Saccharomyces cerevisiae S288C: one gene and its partner. The protein of the gene in region 1 purifies or fractionates together with the protein of each later gene. This does not show direct contact. Each region holds a gene or a part of one and is shown on either strand. Other genes may lie near its edges.

Evidence for each region.
Region 2: the proteins of RTS2 (region 1) and AZR1 purify together in Saccharomyces cerevisiae (affinity purification with mass spectrometry, with the first as the bait; one large-scale study listed by BioGRID). This does not show direct contact.

What each region holds. Positions count from the first base shown.
Region 1 is NC_001147.6:470,104-473,097, reverse strand, and holds RTS2 (Rts2p), read right to left. Parts: upstream 1,200-2,994; coding exon 501-1,199; downstream 1-500. Other genes in the region: BUD21 (Bud21p), read right to left, coding at 1-373; SKI7 (Ski7p), read left to right, coding at 1,478-2,994.
Region 2 is NC_001139.9:941,190-945,147, forward strand, and holds AZR1 (azole transporter), read left to right. Parts: upstream 1-1,616; coding exon 1,617-3,458; downstream 3,459-3,958. Other genes in the region: phosphatidylinositol-3,5-bisphosphate binding protein HSV2, read right to left, coding at 1-1,026; AMA1 (Ama1p), read left to right, coding at 3,956-3,958. UniProt on the Saccharomyces cerevisiae protein: Transporter protein required for adaptation to high stress imposed by low-chain organic acids, in particular by acetic acid, and for resistance to azoles, especially to ketoconazole and fluconazole.

The sequences.
Region 1 (2,994 bases):
CGTCCTTCTGATCTATATTTTTTAGCAATTCCTCAGGAAGCTCCGCAATTACTTCATCAGTGACCTCTGTCTCATTCACTGATTTCTTTTGCTTGGCGTATAATTCATTTTGCTTCCTTCTCTTGGACCGCAATTGTGATTGTTCCAGCCTTATAGCCTCCTCCCTCTGAGTGATCTGTGATTCTACCTCACTTTTCCCAGAGTGAAGCCCTTCTTCTTGTGGAGCATCATCATCATCACTTTCCTCATCACTACTTGAATGCACTTCCTTGTCCTTTTTTGATATTACCAGCACATCATCTTGTCTATCCGTGACAGCACTTGCGCTGGCTTGACTTTCATCGGCATCAAACTTGACGTGTCCATTACTCATTGTCTTACTTAATACGTGTATACGGGTAGTAACAGTTCAGGGTATCAATTCGTACTGCCTTCTAAACATATTTGGGCTTGTTCGAACAACTTCGCTAACCTCATCGCTTGAAAAGAAAAATTTTCAATCAACGGAACTTGATACCATCTTTCCGTGGAGGAACCTTCTTTTTCTTTTTATTTACCCGACCATTCCCGTGGAAGGTGACTTGAACACGTTTCAGAGTGCTATCCCCGCTAATTTCCGATTTCATCTCTGGTTGATATACCTTTTCAGTTTGTCGCTTAGCACGATTGAGTTGTCTTTTCAAAAGCTCGGCGGCTATGACTTCTTGCTCCTCTTGTTGACTTCGCAGCATTCCATCTTCAGAAGGTGATGATAAAGATGAGGGATGGATCCTGATAAGCAAAGGACCTTCAACGTTCTCAGATGTATCATCAATATCCATATCCACGTCTACCTTGCCCGCGCGGCCTAGGTACCGGACAAACTGCGTCAAAGAACGATGCATGGTGGCATTCATATGTACATGATCGCGATCTTGAACATACTCGTTGTATACTTTGTTAGCATCAATCCATTTTTCTCCGTGCCGCTGCTTCAATAACTGTAGAAATCCCTTTTCAAACTGGATATTGTAGCGCCTAGCGTCCTCAGCTGTCACTTGACTAATCTTCCTTAAATGAGATGGCGATTTGTTATGTGATTGAAATCCGTTTGCATCTTTACATTGCCTTTGGCATATTTGGCAGTAGTAACGGGTTTTCTGTAACCCACGACGAGCTCCCTGCTTGGACCAATATTTCGCACTATCATAATCTGCCATCGCTGTGATTTTCTACAATCAAACAACCCTGTGTTTTCGCTCTTTTTAGGACTTGTCAAGAAAAGAATGATGATACTGACTTTTCCATTTGATATTAATTTCAACTAGCGGAGTTTTTCCAGTTTTCAAAGTACAGGACAAAGTGTTGTGTAACCCGGACCAGATTTACATTGGTGTACTATAATATGTACTATAACAGATTGGAGGTATAAACCTAGAGACCCTTCTACAATACACGTACGAGGAGGTGGTCTTCGAAACTTACAGTACCACCTGACATGTCGTTATTAGAGCAATTAGCAAGAAAAAGAATAGAAAAATCTAAAGGCCTTTTAAGTGCGGACCAGTCTCATAGTACATCGAAAAGTGCATCCTTACTAGAAAGACTACATAAGAATAGAGAAACTAAAGATAACAATGCTGAGACAAAAAGGAAGGATCTGAAGACGCTACTTGCAAAAGACAAGGTAAAAAGAAGCGACTTTACCCCGAACCAGCATAGTGTTTCATTGAGTTTAAAGTTGTCTGCCTTAAAGAAGTCAAATAGTGATTTGGAGAAACAAGGAAAATCAGTGACATTAGACAGCAAAGAAAACGAACTCCCTACCAAAAGGAAATCGCCTGATGATAAACTCAACTTAGAAGAGTCATGGAAGGCTATTAAAGAAATGAACCATTACTGTTTCTTGAAAAACGATCCATGCATAAATCAAACCGACGATTTTGCGTTCACAAACTTTATCATAAAAGATAAAAAAAACTCGTTGAGTACATCAATACCGCTATCGTCGCAGAATTCATCATTTCTGTCCTTAAAAAAGCATAACAATGAGCTCCTTGGTATTTTTGTGCCTTGTAACCTGCCGAAAACAACTCGTAAAGTAGCCATTGAGAATTTCAATAGACCAAGTCCTGATGATATAATACAATCGGCCCAACTTAATGCTTTCAATGAAAAATTAGAAAACTTAAATATCAAATCTGTGCCCAAGGCCGAAAAAAAGGAACCAATTAACCTTCAAACACCACCTACTGAGTCGATTGATATTCATTCATTCATTGCCACCCATCCTCTGAATTTGACATGTTTGTTCCTCGGTGATACAAACGCAGGCAAATCCACTTTGCTTGGTCATCTTTTATATGATCTAAACGAAATTTCTATGTCATCAATGAGGGAACTACAAAAAAAAAGCAGTAATTTGGATCCTTCATCTTCAAATAGTTTTAAGGTCATTCTAGACAATACCAAAACAGAAAGAGAAAATGGATTTTCCATGTTTAAGAAAGTTATTCAGGTAGAAAATGATTTACTACCGCCATCATCAACCTTGACGCTTATAGACACTCCTGGTAGTATCAAATACTTCAATAAAGAAACTCTGAACTCAATTTTGACCTTTGATCCTGAAGTTTATGTATTGGTTATTGATTGCAATTATGACTCGTGGGAAAAATCATTAGATGGTCCAAATAATCAGATTTATGAAATTTTAAAAGTGATCTCTTATTTGAACAAGAATTCCGCATGCAAAAAGCACTTGATAATTCTTTTGAATAAGGCAGATCTAATTAGTTGGGATAAGCACCGACTAGAAATGATTCAGTCTGAGCTAAATTATGTGTTGAAGGAAAACTTTCAGTGGACAGACGCAGAATTCCAATTTATCCCGTGTTCGGGTTTATTAGGTTCGAATTTGAATAAAACTGAAAACATCACAAAATCTAAGTATAAGTCAGAATTTGACTCTATAAATTATGTTCCCGAATGGTATGAAGGTCCGACATTTTTTTC
Region 2 (3,958 bases), on another chromosome or scaffold:
GCATATCGACCACACAGAGTCCAAATACTTGGGCCTCCATAGGCCCTTCGGTATATAATTTTTCAAGGGATGGCTCGAACCATTGGCACGAGAGTGGTCTGGTGTATTCGTTTCTGTATTGGTTGTTTCAAAAATTTGGAAAATATGCAATGTTTGCTTATTTGACAATACGGCCAACTTACTACCATTGGGGCTGAAACTCATCTCGTAAATATCCGCCTTGTCCACCCCTCTTCTAAATTCTTTGATTAAAGTACCGTTATGCGTACTGAAGATTCTTATAAGTGTACCCTGGACGGAACATGTTGCTACCATGGTGCCTTGACGGTTCAGTCTAACCAGTTTGATGGGATTTTTATGTGCTTTAATGATGGAAGTGGGCAAAAGCGCTGATTCCTTCGGGTTTTGTGAATTATATTTTATTTGTGATAGGTCGGCTACTTGAATTTGGCCTACGCATTTATTCGATGGGAATGCAATGATTTCTAAGATTTTAGACTGTGACTGCGATGCTTGCGACTGGAGATGTTTGCTGCTACAAACGACATAGTCCACTGATCCATTGGGAGGGATATCCAAAATAGGACAAATTCTTTGAGGATTGGTTTGAAATTGGAAGATCTCTATTGTGTTCTCCAGGACTACCACAATATGAATCCTAGATAAAAACACGTCTTTAATGGAAGACATAAACTTCAAAGTAATCGTTTCCTTTTGCAAAAGATCATCCCAGATGATCAGTTTATTTAGAGCATGCCTTGGTCGTTTACCACCTCCGACTAGTGCGATGTAATTCGTACGATAAAGCATCCTGGTATAGCCAATCCCAGTGCCCCTGGATTGGTTGGTCGCAGACTCTTTAAATGTTTTCGATAGCTTACTAGTCAATGGATCTGTATTGAAAATACGAAATCCATTCTCTAACGCCACGCTGAAACACGAATCATCTTGGTTAAACGAAACGCTCAAAAATTTTGGTTTCCTCCTGTTGTTGACTGCCTCCCTTATAGGTCGACGAACATCCATCTGCTAGTTATGTATGCTTATAGTTGTCCTCTAATAATCGCTGCCTTTCCAGATCTTCTGGTTTCTCTTCCCTTTAACAATAGCCCCCGCAGTACGTATTACTAAGGTAAATAAATATAACCGGCTTTACAAGCCAGAAAGCCGTGATCACGTGATTATCAATTTCTTTATTTCATTTCGCTCAGATACTGCCAAAAGCCCCTGATCTTGAACACAAAGGTAAACAACGTTAATATGAACCTGGCTATCATCATTAGGATAGGCTCATTTTCTCTTTTTAACTCAGGCCCCTTTCTTGCACTGTTACCATAGGATCTTACCAATTTGCATTATTTCCGCCAACTAGCGGATATCCGCTGTATTTCCGCGCTTCTATATGCTATGGCTGGAAATACAATAAAAAGTGTCAAGCAGAACCACTACATTAATTTAAAGAAAAATGTCTTATATCAAAGAATCGGCACTGTATCAATTGATTATATATAATGCTAGAGTTTCCGTACCCTCTTGCAACGTCCTTTAAATCTTGTATCTTTTCTTCTACAATTGTAGTAACACCACGTCTACATTAGTATCTAAATTGCAGCCCAATGAAAGGCGAACCTAAGACTTACAGCATGAGCGACCTCTCATACTACGGTGAGAAAGCACAACAACAGAACGAGAAACAGCAAAAACAATATGTTGTGAGACGAAATTCTACGCAGTCAACATCAAAACAAAACGTGAGCGTGGTGCTCGAGGACAACGCCAGCGAAAGTAATGAACTACCTAAAGGGTTTATCTTGTACGCATCTTTGATAGCATTGGCTTTGTCGCTGTTTCTGGCAGCCTTGGATATCATGATAGTTTCTACAATCATTGAAGAAGTAGCTAAACAGTTTGGATCGTACTCTGAGATCGGGTGGTTATTTACCGGGTATAGCTTACCAAACGCTCTGTTGGCGTTGATATGGGGAAGAATTGCCACACCTATCGGATTCAAGGAGACCATGCTATTTGCTATTGTCATTTTTGAAATCGGGTCGCTGATCTCTGCTTTAGCAAATTCAATGAGTATGCTCATTGGTGGTAGAGTTATTGCTGGAGTCGGCGGTTGTGGTATTCAAAGTTTATCGTTCGTCATTGGTTCAACCCTGGTAGAGGAGTCGCAGAGAGGCATACTAATTGCTGTTTTGAGTTGTTCGTTTGCTATTGCATCTGTTGTTGGGCCTTTCCTTGGAGGAGTTTTCACCTCCAGCGTCACATGGAGATGGTGCTTCTATGTTAATTTACCGATCGGTGGCCTAGCATTTTTCTTATTCCTGTTCTTTTATAACCCAGGTTTAAGTACATTTCAAGAGACAATGGATAACATCCGCAAATTTCCATCACAGTTTATCGAAATTGTTCGGAATGTAGCATATCATTTATTGAAAATCAAAGGGTTTAGCAAACTTAATGGGTGGAGAAAGCCGTTCATGGAATTGATTTTCATGTATGATATTATCGAGTTTGTGTTTTGTTCAGCTGGATTCACATGTATTCTATTGGCTTTCACATTTGGCGGTAACCGGTATGCTTGGAACTCTGCATCCATCATTATTCTTTTCATCATCGGTATAGTCCTGGTAGTGTTAGCAGGTATCTATGATTTCCTTGTCTTCCCCAAATTTAATATAGTGAAAGCAACACCACATTACCAACCATTAATGTCATGGACAAATATCAAGAAACCAGGTATTTTCACGGTTAATATAGCCTTGTTTCTCACTTGTGCAGGATATATCAGTCAGTTTACGTATATTGTGCAATACTTCCAATTAATTTACAATGATTCCGCCTGGAGAGCCGCTGTACACCTGGTTGCTTGCATTATTTCTACAGTCGTTACAGCAATACTTTGCGGTGCTATCACCGACAAAACCCGCCAAATCAAACCGATTATTGTTATTTCAAGCATTTTTGGTGTTGTTGGTGCGGGTATATTAACCCTATTGAACAATAATGCCAATAACTCTGCTCACATCGGCCTTTTGATATTACCTGGCGTTGCTTTCGGTGGTTTGGCACAAAGTTCCATGCTCGCTTCTCAAATTCAGTTAGACAAGAAGAGCCCAACTTTTCGATCAGATTTTGTCTCTATTACCACTTTTAACACATTTTGCAAAAATCTAGGTCAAGCACTGGGAGGTGTCATCTCTAACACTGTTTTCAGTGCTGCTGCTATCAAGAAATTAACCAAGGCTAATATTCAGCTCCCAGATGGTACCACGGTAGACAATCTGGTAATCTATAGGCAGACCAATTTCGATGGCTCTCATTCCAAATTGGGCAATATAATTTCTGAATCTCTCACTGACGTCTTTTACATGGCATTAGGATTTTATGCATTATCTCTCATTTTTGCTGTTTTTGCTTCAAATAAGAAAGTCACAGCAAGCCTGAGATAAGTTAAGCACGATTTAGAAGGTGGCGAGCCTCAAAGTGTAAAGCTGCAGAAAAAATAAACATGACTTTTAGTAATTGGCTGTTTAGCTTGCTGAATTGTGTACCACAACTAACGATAACAGTAAGAGGGTAATCCGAGACAGTATGAGTACAGCTATTAAATAGTTAATTTAGATTTTTATACTGGTATGATAAACGACGTTCATATAGCAAGAGCGTCAATGCCTCTATGTCACCTTCAATAGAAGTTTCCCTTTTTATTTCGACTTTTGTTTTTGTATTTTTCGGCGTCTGCCTTGTTCCATTTTTAAGGCGCCAAAAATAAAATAAAATGATGAACGATTAGTACTCAAAGAACACTTTAATCCTTGGAAACAAAAAAATAAAAAATCAAAAGTTGAAGGAAGGTCAAATTTTCTTCCTCCAACGATAATAATACTTGCTTATATAACTCTTTTAAAGTTTTACAAAACTTTGGATCAGAAAAAAAGAAAAAAATATG